Mus musculus: one gene and its partner. The protein of the gene in region 2 interacts with the protein of the main gene of each other region in a biochemical or structural test. Links are inferred from orthologs where the notes say so. Each region holds a gene or a part of one and is shown on either strand. Other genes may lie near its edges.

Region 1 (6,175 bases), on a different chromosome or scaffold from region 2:
ACTCTGGTATGTGTAAGAAATTATGGCTAACCCCACACTGGGCAGAGAACCGTTCTTCCTTCTGCCAGAAGGTCCTGCACCCAGCCCTGAGATTCCCTGAAGGTGAATCACAAGGGTAGCTGAGGGAGGGGCATGCATGTGAGTAAGAAGATGCCAAGACTGTGGGGTCCCTGCCTTAAAAGGGAGTCGGGCACCTGAGGCCTTTCTACTGAATAAGGTCTCCGTGACCATCCTATTTAATTGGAATCAAGCCTTGGGCCTCTCCAACCCTTTGAGCAAGAGGAGCCTTGCCGTTGTTTTCTGGTGGCAGAGAAGCCCTCAGCTGTAACTAGCCACCCAGACCATGCATGCAGTTAGCTGAGATTATACAGCTCAGTTTAATACTAACAGTGGCAGGAAAACAAGACCAAAATGGCAAAGTCATCAAGGAAATGCCCAACCCTATGGGACAGCCTGCAGGGGCATCCATGGCATCTACCCCCAAGGAGTGTCACCAAATGAGGGCCCCAGAACACCAAGATGGGTTTTGGGGTAGTGACCACCCAAGAGCAATGGATGAGTGACACATGCCACCTGGAATTCATCCAATTTATTGTTTCCCTTTCCTCTAAGGAAGAAACTCAAAAGGTCTAGGGGCATGGGCCCTTGGGGCTTAGTTTCCCAAGCTTCCAGAGACTTCTGTCCCCCTCACATGAGTTTCAACCTTACCTTTGTATCTGTAGAGCCTTTCAGTTCAGTGGAAATCAGCAAAGGCCAGGCACATTTGGTATCCTAGGGTCTCCAGGGGCAAAACTTAAGGGAGCCTCAGTTCCACTAATACTAGACTCTATGTGGACAGACATGAACCCAAGACCCCATTGGCCCCTTAGGAGCATGCTGGTCCTGGAAGGTCAACAGATGACACAGCAGGGGCATGAGCATCTAGAGCCCAGTGAGGCCTTATGGCAATTTCCCTCTGTGCTGGGGAATTGTCCCTGTTCAACCAGAGCTAGTATAAAATGTGTGTGTGTGGGGGGGGGGGTGCTACTACTGTAGCACTCACAGCTCATTATTCCTCAATATTGAGAACAGAGTGTGACACATTGTGCCAGCTGCCTTTGATGTGGGACCCCAGCCTAGGACCACCCCCCCACAGACCCCCTGCACTCCTGCCCACAGCAGCCCTGAGTCACATCTCTCCCATAACAGGACGGGGGAGGGAAAAGTGTTAGGGTAGGCAGTCCCTATCAGGAATCACCTCTTCTTGTAGGACTGGGCCTTGGCCAAGGAGCCCCAACACCTTGGCTGCTTGGGCCCCTTAGTCCAGCCTTGAACCTTGCCGCCTGGTCACATAGATACCCAGATGCTGGACATACATAGGGTAAATAAAGGCAGACTGGGTGGGTCTGAGTGGAGGGCTCCCTTCCAGAGGGCACCTTGAGGAACTTGGTCAGTGCTGAGTTTCAGGCACCTTTTGGAGAAAGGCTGGTAGAAAGCTATGTGTGCTGTACTCAGAAAGTTTCCAAAATAGGATACCCACCACCCCTTCAATGACAGCAGAGCCCTCCCTCCCTAGCTCTCCAAGGAGCAAGAGTTGGCCTGGATAGGATCCTGAGGACCCAGCAGCCTCAGGAAATTCCTCTAGCTCCTCTTCTAGGACACTTGGTCACTTTTCATAGTGAGGGGAAACTAAGGCAGATGTAGTAGTTCCCCTACTTTTCTGGGGCAGAGACTTCAGAAGCCTCCTGCCTCCTGGAGCTGAACTGAGCATCCTCAAAGACAGAAGTTAACTGGGGCAGGGGCGGGGGGGGGCATCATCCAGACAAAAGAGCTTCCTCTTTTCTTTTCTTTTTCCCAACCCCCAGCCTTCATAAGTGGTTAGAAAAGATTTCGTTTAATCAGACTGAAAGAATGCGCGCCAGCGCACTCTGCACACAGTCTTGGAACTCCTTGACCTCTGCAGGACATCCTTTCAGCAGCGGAGACGGAGAGTCTTGCGGAAGACACTTCGAAACTCCGCGTTGAAGATGGTGTAGATGATGGGGTTGAGGGCACTGTTGACATAGCCTAGCCAGGTGACGGCACTGACCAGGCGCGGAGACACGAAGCAAGCCGGACACAGCGCCCGCGTGATGTGCACCACGAAGAAAGGCGTCCAACACACCAGGAAGGCCCCTGGGGATGGGCGGCGTGAGCCTGTACACCCGCACTCCAGGTCCCTCACCCAGGACCCCCCACTTTTCACCCTTCCAACCTGGACCCTCCCCCTGTCCCCGGCCTCAGCTCCCGGGACCCCTCCCTCCCTCCCTCCCTCCCTCTATCAACTCTTGTCCCAGGACAGGAACCCACCGACTACCACCGGCAGGACTCTCATTGCCTTGCGCTCCCTTCCCGTGATCTTGGCGCCTCTCCTTCTGCGGGAAGACGGCTCAGGAGGTTGCGGGAGAGCTGCATCAGCGAGCAGACACCCGGGGCTGCAGGGTCTCTGAGAGAGCTCTGACTCCGGCCTGCTGGAGTCGCTGGGGCTCGTCCGGAGGCTGGGTAAGGGAGGTGGGCAGTCTGGGAAGAAGGGACCCTGAGTAGGGTCCGACACCGGCGGGCCGGGGCCGCTGGGTCGGCGCGGCGCGCGGCTGTGAAGTTTGGTGTGCCGGGCTGCCTCCCAGCGCCGCAGGCCGCGGAAAGTGGCCCAGTAAAGCAGTAGCATGAGCGGACAGGGCAGGAAGAAGGAGCAGACGGACGAGTAGACCACATAGTCTCGGTTCTCCAGGCAGCACACGGCCGGATCGCGGCCGGGCACATCATTGAGGCCACACACCACTGGCGAAGCCACCGCGGCGGACAGCAGCCACGTGGCGGCGATGAGCAGCAGCTGGCACTGACCCTGCTGGTTGTAGCGCAGCGGCACGGTCACGGCCACGAACCTAGAGGAGCACAGGAGCGGTGAAGCTGCCGAGTGGGGCGGCTAACCCGGAGGTGGGACTGGGAGAGGGGTCGTCCGGGGTACCCACCTGTCCACGCTGATGGCGCACAGGTTGAAGATGGAGGCGGTGCACAGCATGACGTCCATGGCCATGAGCGTGTCACAGAGACGGGGGCTCAGGAGCCACACGCCACCCTGGACCTGGCCACGCAGAGTTTGCAGAAATGAAACACAAGACCTGCCTGACCTTTGAGCCGCGGACTTGCTGACCCCCACTCTTGTTGAGGGGAATCGAGGGCTGTGTATTAGAGGGAAGGGGGCATACAAGCCCGATGTGAGCCTGAGACATGTGTTGGAGACAGAACGTGCAAACAGACCTGCCTCTTGACTTAGGTCTTCTTTGGTTATGTGAGAAGCTTGGGTAAGACCCAGGGGGGTTGATAACATCTAGGGGAGAGGAGGCCCTAAATTCTTAAGCCTGGCCCCCTAAACACAAATCCTACCCACCTCCAAGACTCGAGTTATCCTCCCTGCATGAACTGTCACTGCTGTGGGGCTTTGGATAGGTCTCTTCACTTGCTGGACACATGGCAATTGTCCTGAGGACAAATGTGTCCTAAAAATACAAAGACCTCGCCGGGCTGTCTGTGAATCTGCTGCACGGAGTGTTCTTTTTCAAGGGCAAAGGAGCACACAGCCGTCTCAAACCAGCCGTCCCCAAATCCCTTCACACTGATTTGGGATGATTATGAGCTTAAGAATCATCACAGTGACGTCTGTGCCTTGGGGAGGACCTGGGGTCAAGTGTGGCCACTGGCCTCTGCTCCAGCTCCAGAACTCAGGGTCTTCTTTAGAAATACCATTCACCCCACCCCACCCTGCCCAAACCGTGGGCAGATAAGAATTGCCAGTAACCACAGCAGACCCACCTACGAGCCAGACCTGATCTGGGGTGTCTGTGTTCCAGGAGTCTCCAAAAGGTCCTGAACCCACTCCCTTTAGCGGCCCCTCAGGTTCAGTATCCTGCCCAGGCCTCTCTGCCTTCACCCTTTGCTGCTCCGAGCTCCTGGGAGCTGGGTGGCTGCAGGCTTTGGGCTTCTTCCGAAGGGTGAGAGTGAGCTGGCACAGGCTGGGGTGTGTGTGTGTGTGTGTGTGTGTGTGTGTGTGTGTGTGTGTGTGTGTTCCCAAAAGGCAGTAGTCATCGGTAGTGATGCTGATGCTGCGTGTCTGCACTTTCGCCTGTCTAGCTAGCTGTTTTTTGCCACAGGCTGGGGGATGCAGCATTTCTGCAGTGGAAGCCAGGGCTTAAATAGGAAGGACAATTTTCTGCGATTCTTGGTTTTAGGGACACGAGTCCTCTCTGGGTAGGTAGCTCTCAGACAGAGTAGGAAGGAATCCAGAGGATGGTAGGGTGACGGACAAGAGGAAAAGTAGGCGAAAGATTCTGAAGAGCGGGAGAGAGTGGATAGTCAGGAGTGAGGAGACCTGACGTCCCTGCAAACACCCTGGCTCAAGGTGGCTGAGGGTCCAAGCGCGAAACTGCGCTGGGGCTGGGGGGCTGGGAGCAGTGGAGGTAGGGGAAGAGCGCACCGAGGCTCACCTCGGAGTAGACAAAGAGAGGCAGCACCAGCACCGCGAGGAGGAGGTCGGCAGCAGCCAGGCTCACGATGAAGTAGTTGGTGGGTGTCTGCAGCGTGCGCTCGGAGGCCACGCTCACGCACACGAGCGAGTTCCCTGCCAACACCAAGCCGATGAGCAGCACGCCCCCCACCAGCGCCGCCGCGCCCGCGCCCCCAAGCCCGGCGCCAGTCCCCAGGGATTCTGGCCCACGCCCGGCCAACAGCCCACCGTCCTCAGTAGCGCTGCTGTTCCCCATGGTGCCACTGCTGAACCCGCTCCGGGAGGCGCTGAGCCTGGGGATTTGCAGGCAGGGGCTACCCGGAATCCCGCCCCCAGCGCGTCCAGCCCCGCCCCGCCCCGGCTTGAATTTCTGAACTCTAGGAAATTGGCAGAGGGAGAAATGCTTCAATTCAAGAGAAATGAGCGAAGTGACTGGCATAAAAAGGCTAAGCAGCGGCTGATGTGTCCCCTCATCGGGGCTAGTTTGTGCTTCCAGAAACCTAGGTAGAAAAGCAGGTTGTCTGGACCAGATTCGTCAGAGCCAGCCATCCCATCCTGGCCAGGAGACAGGCCACTAAATTACCTGTCAAAAGCGGCTCTCCAAGATACCTTGGAGGATGTGGAGAACCTATCTATACTCCTGCACTGGGGTCCTTCCCACGTGGGAAACCATCAGCTCTGGTTCTGGAACAGGTTAAAGGCTCCTCGCCTCTTTCACTAACGGTTCTGGGCTTAGCAATACTGAGCAGCACACCAAGCTCATTCTCTGTGGGCAGATGTGCAGCAACTCTTGGGATCCAGGCCTTGGCTGGCCCTACTTTTCTCACCATCTCTCTTCCCAAGTCTCCATCAGTCAGTGCTTAAGCGGACCATGGTGAAATTGATAATTGGCACCTCCAAGGCCCAGTCTTAACTTTTTATCTAATATATTATTATTAATTTTATTATTGTTGTTGTTGACTTTTCAAGGCAGGGTTTCCCTGCGTATGTCCTAGAACTTATTCTGTACAGCAGGCTAGCACTGAACTCAGATCCTTCGGCCTCCCCTCTGTCTCCGGAGTGCTGGAATTAAAGAGTGTGGACCACCATGTCTGGTTCAGCCTTAAGCCTTAACCATCCTCTGTGGGCCGCTGAGTGGTTACCCCACTTCCTATCTTGACCCTCAGCTTCCTTGCATTTGATACTGTATGGCACGCTGACTACCAGGGTTACCTGACAAGGACTCTCTGAGCTGAGAGAACTCTCACATGGGGGCTCTTTTCCCAAGCCACATCTGGAGGCCATACTTTTCTCTGTGCCAGCACAGGAACCTAGGCTGGAACAGGACAGCACAGGTTGAGAGGACACTGTAGAATCAGGACAGGAGAAGAGACAGCAGCAAGGACAGTCCCTGGAAGATTGGGAGCCCTTGCAGTGAAAGTACCTGGGGACTATGCTGATGAAAGAATTTTTGTATATGGGCTTACTAATGCTGAGAGAGATTACCTGGAGTCCTGTGACTAAAGGGCTATCTTCAAGTGGAGGTAGACTGTAGTTGGTATTTGCTACTTTGTGGGTTCTTCTCTCTCCCACCCTTTATCTCCCCTCCCCCTGTTACACCCCCTATCACTAGATGGGAGGAAAAGAAAGAGAGAGGGGAGGTGGGAGAGATCCCTT
Region 2 (7,997 bases):
CCTGGCCCTGGCTGTCCTGGAACTCACTTTGTAGACTAGGCTGGCCTCGAACTCAGAAATCCGCCTGCCTCTGCCTCCCAAGTGCTGGGATTAAAGGTGTGCACCACCACACCGGACCGACTCTTAATCTTTTAACACTAGCCTCTGCTTCTATGGCAATCTATGGGAACAATTTGTAGTTTTCACCAAGGGCCCGTTTCCCTAACAGAGGACAAGCTCCTGCATTCCATCAGAAGCATTAGTAACTAAAATAAATGGTTAAGACCCAAAGAAGGGCTGGCGAGATGGCTCAGCGGGTAAGAGCACTAACTGCTCTTCTGAAGGTCCTGAGTTCAAATCCCAGCAACCACATGGTGGCTCACAACCACCCATAATGAAATCTGATGTCCTCTTCTGGTGCATCTGAAGACAGCTACAGTGTACTTATTTATAATAATAAATAAATCTTTGGGCCAGAGAGAGCAGGGACTGAGGGAGTTGACTGGAGCGAGAGGGACCAATTTGAGCGAGCAGAGGTCCTAAAAAATTCATTTCCCAACAACCACATGAAGGCTCACAACCCTCTGTACAGCTACAGTGTACTCATATACATACATAAAATAAATAAAATCTTTTTTCCTCTGTATGTATTTTTTTTGAGACAAAGGTCTCTCCCACCCTAATCACCATGAGCATTCTCTTTCGCTACAACATTAGGATTTTTTTAAAAAACAAGAAACAAACAACCCCCCCCCAAAAAAAAACAAAAAACAAAACCAAAAACCAAGCTCTGTGTAGCTCTGGTGGCCCGAGCATTTTTCCCCAGCCTGCTTGTCAGTTTTCTTGGTAATTGTCATTCTATCTTGGATAAGCTACTGACAAAGGTCTTTCGAATGTACAGCCCAGTCACCTGGGAGGATCAAGTACCCTCAAATTCTTTCCTTTTTTCCTTCCCTTCCCTTCCCTTTTCCCCTTCCCTTCCCTTTTTCCCTTCCCTTCCCTTTTCCCCTTCCCTTCCCTTTTTCCCTTCCCTTCCCTTTTTCCCTTCCCTCCCCTTTTTCCCTTTCCTTTCCCTTTCCTTTCCCCTTCCTTTCCCCTCCTCCCCCTCTCTTTTGTTCTTTCTTCTTGTTTGAAGTAGGGTTTCTCTATGTAGCCCTGGCTATCCTGGAACTCACTCTGTAGACCAGGCTGGCCTCAAACTCAGCTATCTGCCTGTTTCTGCCTCTGGAATTAAAGGTATGCACCACCACTAACTGGTGAAAACCTTCCACCACACAACAACGAACTAATAGCTCCCCCCTCCCTTTTTTTTCCACAGTTAACACTGAGAAAAGAGCTTTTTACTGTTGACATTTTACAACTGGGTCTGGCTGGTCTGTTGCTCATTAAATAGGTCCAGGTTTGCCTCAAATCGCATCCTTCTGCTTCTTGAATGCTGGAAATACAAACCTTAGTTAGTATGCCTGGCCACAAAACTGTTTTTACATATTGTATCTTTCCACTTGGATCTGGTTGTTATCCAATACATCTATGTAGCAACTTTCTCCAAGTTTTCCTTGATACTTTTCTGTCTGCCTTCCTGTCTGTGCCTCCTCGCTGTCCTATTTTCTCCTTCCTTCCCTCATCTCACCCCTGGAATGCACACAACCTCCTCTTTAGGCCATTTTTCTCTCTTATGGCTCCAAGAATATCCATACGTGTGCAAGTACACTTTAACCTTTCTTGGTTTCAAACCACACTAATTCATATTTACTTGCTTAAAAGATGTACTCATATACATAAAATAAATAAAATCTTAAAAACAAAAACAAAGAAACTCTCAACCCTCTGACCTTCACCTGTCTTGGGCCTTTCACATGCCAGCCACATTTTCAGCTTTAGTTGTTATTGTTTTCTCCCCTTGAATTTGTTCTCTCCTGCTTTAGTCTCCCAAGTGTGGGTATGCACGTGTAATGTCTAGCTCTCACAGAAATTCTTAAAGAATTTGTGTGTTTTTCTGCTCATCAGGAAAGCATTTGCCTAGATGAAAGAAAAAGGGCAAAGATGTTACTAGGGGAAATGCATATATAAAAGCAGAAGTAGCCAGAGAAGACCAGGAGAACCAGTAGATATGTTTTGTAATTTTAAGATTTTATGTGCATAAATGGTTTGCCTACATGTATACATGAGCACCATGTATGTGCCTGGTGCCCAAGATCGTTAGCTTCTGTTCTAGCTACCTTAAGTTCATCTGCTGTAGTAGTTCTGGGTCCAGATTTGGTGGGGAAGCATTCCTGCCCTGAAGTCTGATGACTACACTACAAAACCTAGACAAAATAGATCTACATTGATCATTTTAACAACTATTTCCAGAGTGCCCTCAACATTTTCTATCAATTCTGCACTCTGTCCACCATATTTAAATGTCAGGAACAGTTTGGGATCAAGAAGCTATGACACGAAGAAAACACTATGTAAAACGAAGACGCTGCCCTCTTGACTACACTTTACTATCCCTAAGAACCAAACGCCGTGCAAAGGAAAACTGGATAATCCAATTAGTCATTCATCTATACTGGAACAAGAAACATCTTTCCCTTCTCAGCCAAAGGCAAAAAGTCAAAATCAACGAAAAGCAAACGTCCTAAGAACCGCAGCACTAATGAACGACCATGGTGAGTCAGAGGAGAGGAGATGGCTGTGGCGTCTTCTTTGAGAAGGGTCTTTGCAGTTTCCCCTACTGCGACCCATTTCTGGTGGCTCAGTCAATCCACAAGTTCCTTTTCCTTGGAGTGAAGGAAGCAATCGCCTCATGGTGACAGGCACATTTAGGACCCTGTGGTTATCCGGGATGGGAAAGTCCTCCCTATGGTGAAGCGGAGCCTGATTCTTCAGAAACCGACCTAGAGAACTCTGAAACCCCGTGGGTCTCCCGAGTGTGGCAGGAACGCAGCCTAGCGCCTGCCATACCGCGTGGGGACCGCCAGTCTTGGGTCCTTCTGGCCTCCAGCGCACTGTCACACGCGGCACTCCCCACCCACCCGTCTACCCACTCTCAGGTCTCTTTTTCTGAGCTCTCAGGTAAGCAGGACTTCTTGGCTCGGCCTCCTAAGGTGACGTAACCCAGGAGAGGCCCGCCCCTCCCGTGGCGTGACGTCATCATGCCGCGCGGTCGCCGTACTCCGAGACTGGAGTTTACCACGGAGACTGCTCCGCAGCGGCTGGTCCGGGCGGCAGCGGCGGCGCTCCGGCTGCTCAGCCGCCTGGGAGCCCGGCGCCTAGCACCTCGGCTCGGACGGCCCAGGAGCCCTGGTGAGTGAGCGCGGCCCTGACACACGGCCTTTCCCTCTGCCCTCAGCCGGGGGCGCGGCCTTCCCCCAACCCGGGTACCCCCCCCAGCCCGGGTCGGTAGGAGATGAGCTGGGGCGCTGCAGGCATAGCGCTGCCTTCTCGGCTTCTCCGGAGCAGCTGCCGCCTGCCCCGGGAGAAGGTTTAACCTGGGAGGAAAGAATTCAGCTGAGAAACAGTAAGGGGACGTTTATTTAGTAAAGCTACACACTCCAAAGATTGGAGTGGGCTTCCTCCGAAGGTAGGCAGTAGCGCATTGGGGTTTTAAAGAAGTTTCTTAAGAATATTAGTGAGGTGTAAGGTATATTCATGCATGAAGGTAAGATAATTCCCTTTCCCTCCCAAATTATAGTGGTCTTCACCTCCTCTTGTAAGGCATTTATCCCCAGCAATCTTGAAAAAAAAAAAAAAAAGCAAGGTATGGGGTGGGAGATTTGGAAACTCCAACACATTGTAATGAAGCCAGTGCCTTTTGAGAATGCAGACCCTTTAACGCGGTTTTGGCAATTTGTTAAGTATCGTTTGCCTTGGTGGAACATCCCAAATACAGTTTTACAGATTTTGACCATGGGAACCTTAGTGTAGTCCCTGCTTAACCGGGAGACACAGCTACCAAGATACTGTTGCAGCTTCCATGATTACCGCATATCTAACTCCTTGCCTACCTAGGTCTCCCTAATACTTGATGGTAAGCTTGGTGTTCTTAGGGGAGAACTCCTTTCTCTCTCTCTCTCTCTCTCTCTCTCTCTCTCTCTCTCTCTCTCTCTCTCTCTCTCTCTCATTGCCTTTTTTCTTCCTTCTAGAATGATTTAGAATGGAACCCCTCTATTTACATATTAGCTGTTCTAGAATGTGTAGTTTTTGAATGGTGAATATATGGTCAGGCTTTGTGCTAGGAGGAAAGTTGCAGCCCTGAGGTTACTGTCATTTATGAAACAAATCTTAAAGTTTAATCACAGGCTGGGCCTTGTGCTAGAACACTAGGAAATCTTCATAATCTTCAGCTCCTGAGAATTCAGCAAATCCCCAGTTTCTTGCATCTCATAGTTTGAAACTATGTTAGCTTAAGCAAACCTTTTAAAAACAAAAAGCATTTACTTTAGCAAGTTGTCTCAGTTTTTGGTTAAATACATGTTGCAGAGTTTGGGGGGGGGGGGGAGTGTCCAGAGTCCTTTTGAAGGAGCTACTGAACAAAAGATGACAATGTAGAATCTCAGTTTTAATCTTAGGAAATTAGGATTGTAGACTTTAGATGAATAGTTTCTTTTTTCTTTGGTTCATTTTAGAAAGTTTTGCATCCTCAAAGGACAGTTTTCATAAGCACCTTCATTGCATCCCCTAGAAAGTGTTCTGAGGAGGAAAATCCCAGGGAGAATCTGAGGCAGGTGGATCTCTGTGAGTTCAAGGCCAGCCCAGTCTACAGAGTAAGATTCAGGATAGCTGGGGCTACCCAGAGAAACCTTGTCTCAAAAAAAAAAAACAAAAACAAAAACAAAACAAAACATAGATACCAAAATCTGAGTGTGCTGGTCTTCTTTGTTTACTTTGTTTCTTTGAAACAAAAGTCTCTTTATGGAGCCCTGGCTGGCCTGGAGCTCATTATGTAGACCAGGGTGAGCTCCAACTTGCAGAAATCTACCTTTGTCTCCTGAATGCTTGGCTTGCATATACCACCACACCTGGCTCTGAAGTCATGTAGAGTTAAATGCATAGTATTTGCATATACCACTTACATACCCTATCAAGACAAGTTCTGGATTACTTATCACATCTAAAACAGTACAGTTATTTACTGTATTTGTGTTGGCTAGTTTTATATCTGTGACAAAAGCTATGGTCATCTGAGAGGAGAGAGCCTTGATTAAGATAATGCCTGCAGAAGATTGGGCTGCAAGCAGTTAAGCTGGTAGGGCATTTTTTAAATTAGTGATTGGTCGGGAGGGGCTTCTCTCACTGTGCCATTCATGGACTGCAGGCCTCTGTAAGAAAGTAGACTGAGCTAGCTGATTGGTGGTGATGCACACCTTTAGCCCCAGCTCTTGGAAGGCAAAGGGAATCAGATCTCTGTTCCAAGCCAGCCTGGTCTACAGAGTAAGTTCCAGGACAGCCAGGACTACACAGAGAAACCCTGTCTCAAAAAGAAAAAAACCAAAATCAAAACAAAGAAAAGAAAGTAGAAAGGAAGGAAGGAAGAAAAGAAAGAAAAGGAAATTGAGCAAGAGAGAGAGAGAAGGAAATTGAGCAAGCCATGAGGAGCAAGTCAGTAAGCTACCCTGACCCTGTAGCATCATCCCTACCTTATCTCCTGGAATATTAGTTCCCATCTCTGTTCCAGTCACTAGACTGTGACTCAGGATATGTAAGACAAATAACCCTTTCCTCCCAGGTTGCTTTTTGGTCACGATGTTTTATCACAGCGTAATAACGCTAAGATAGTATTCACTAGGAAAAATGATAAAAATCTGCACATGTTCAAAATCAGTTCTTTAGTTTTTAATATTTTGCTCTTTACTGGGTTGAATCCAAAGATATAGAATGTTAAGTTTGGAGAAAGAAGAGGTAACCTTTACTGGGGTCGGTGTTGGCCAGATTGTGGTGGTGCCAGGGTCAAAAGTGCTCTGTATTTGTGGAAGTTGTGGTTAAGGAACCCTTTTAGTTCCTGAATTTGTAGAACTAATTGTGTGTTTGGTTTCCCACTTCTTCATTATGATCTTTTTCCCTTGTAGCCACATTGTCCAAGGACTCCTTTGTTCTTTCTCCTTAGTGCTTGATGGGCGGCATTATGGCCCCTAAAGACATAATGACAAACACTCACGCTAAGTCCATCCTCAACTCCATGAACTCCCTCAGGAAGAGCAACACCCTCTGTGATGTGACCTTGAGAGTGGAGCAGAAAGACTTCCCTGCGCATCGGATTGTGCTGGCCGCCTGCAGTGATTATTTCTGTGCCATGTTCACTAGTGAGGTAAATGCAAGTCACTGCTACCTAAGTGAAATTCGCATTGTAACCTTGCAGTCCTCTTATTTCAAGGGACAAAATAGCATGTGTTGGTGATTCAGCTATGGCATTTGTCAGCCAATTGGTCACCATGGTTAATCTTGCTGTCACTGTCACGTGTGTCTTCTGAAGGGGCTGCTCAATCAATGGGGATTTTTTTCCAACACACAGTCAAAAGTCAAAAGTATTGGGGGGGGGCGTGTCTTCCCTGTTAGAACTTCCAAACAAATGCTTAGTAAATAAAATAGAAATTTGAAACCAGATATAGTTGCTCACATTTAACAGTCCTGACAGTGGGAAGATCACCATAAATTTGAGGCCAGTCTGGGCTACAGAATAACACCCACCTGAAACCACTCAACAAGGAAGGAAAAAAAAAAAAAGTCTGGTAAACCAGTGAATCTGTATAATGTGGTAGTCAAATAGGTAAGCTCTGAATAAGACATGTGATGGCTTTCTCCTTCAGATCATCAATAATTGCTGGGCGGTGGTGGCGCACGCCTTTAATCCCAGCACTTGGGAGGCAGAGGCAGTCGGATTTCTGAGTTCGAGGCCAGCCTCGTCTACAAAGTGAGTTCCAGGACAGCCAGGGCTACACAGAGAAACCCTGTCTCGAAAACAGAAACAAAAACAAAAAAGAATTTTGGGGACTGGAGAAATGGCTCAGAGGTTAAGAGCACTGACTGCTCTTTCAAAGGTCCTGAGTTCAATTCCCAGCAACCACATGATGGCTCACAACCATCTGTAATGGGATCTGATGCCCTCTTCTGGTGTGTCTGAAGCAACAGGGTACTTATATACATAAAATAAATAAATATATCTTTAAAAAAATCATCAATAATTATAGAAAATGAGTATGCTACTGATACAGATTTCAGGGTGACTTCCAATGAGGGGAGAGGGGATTTAATGAATGGCTGTGTGGTGTTAACTTAGCCTGGTGAGATAGCACGTGGCTGTAATGCCAGCAGTGGGGAAGTGGAGTTCAAGGCTGGCCTCCTGGTGAGACCCTGTCTCACCCAAACAAGGGTAGGGGATGTAGCTCAGTTGGTCTGATGATTACCTAATATACACAAAGCCACGAGATTAAGACCATCCTTGCCTACATACAGAGTTTTAGGCTATTTGGAACTATATGAGATGTTTTCTCCAAAACCAAAATTACTTTGAGAGAGAGAGACAGACAGACAGACAGCAAGCTGGTTCAATAAGTAAAGATACTTTCCATCCAACCTCATGGACCAGATTCCAGTCCCTGAGACCCACGTGGGGTGTGTATGTGTATGTTTGTGTGTGTGTGTGTGTGTGTGTGTGTGTGTGTACACAAATGTACTTGAGTGTATGTATGTGTTTGTCTGTCTTTTTTTCTTTTTTTTTTTTCTTCTCAAGACAGAGTTTGTTTATGTAGTCTTAGCTGTCCTGAAACTTGCCCTATAGAGCAGACCAGCTTTGAACCCACAGGTCCACCTGCCTCTGCCTCCCAGGTGCTAGGATTAAAGGGATACACCACTATCTTCTGGCTTAAAAGTTTCTAAAAAGTAAATAATATAAGAATATTTAAACTAGTCTTTATAAGTGTTTTAAGTTGAGGTATATGAATAATTATCACATGTTTAAACTTAGACATATATCTGAATTATTTCATTATGCAGGCTTTTTGTTTATGTGTGCCTCCATGAATTTTATGGGCATC

Evidence for each region.
Region 1: of the proteins of Klhl12 (region 2) and Drd4, one has a biochemical effect on the other in vitro, tested with the Homo sapiens proteins (2 studies listed by BioGRID, with this or other methods). The link is inferred for Mus musculus from reciprocal best matches to the Homo sapiens genes KLHL12 and DRD4.

What each region holds. Positions count from the first base shown.
Region 1 is NC_000073.6:141,290,638-141,296,812, reverse strand, and holds Drd4 (D(4) dopamine receptor), read right to left. Parts: upstream 4,796-6,175; 5' UTR 4,776-4,795; coding exon 4,500-4,775; intron 4,490-4,499; exon of another isoform or gene 3,407-4,489; intron 3,101-3,406; coding exon 2,988-3,100; intron 2,901-2,987; coding exon 2,329-2,900; intron 2,155-2,328; coding exon 1,952-2,154; 3' UTR 349-1,951; downstream 1-348. UniProt on the Homo sapiens protein: Dopamine receptor responsible for neuronal signaling in the mesolimbic system of the brain, an area of the brain that regulates emotion and complex behavior.
Region 2 is NC_000067.6:134,452,396-134,460,392, forward strand, and holds the start of Klhl12 (kelch-like protein 12), read left to right. Parts: upstream 1-3,135; 5' UTR 3,136-3,270; intron 3,271-6,032; exon of another isoform or gene 6,033-6,070; 5' UTR 6,071-6,076; coding exon 6,077-6,271; intron 6,272-7,997. UniProt on the Homo sapiens protein: Substrate-specific adapter of a BCR (BTB-CUL3-RBX1) E3 ubiquitin ligase complex that acts as a negative regulator of Wnt signaling pathway and ER-Golgi transport.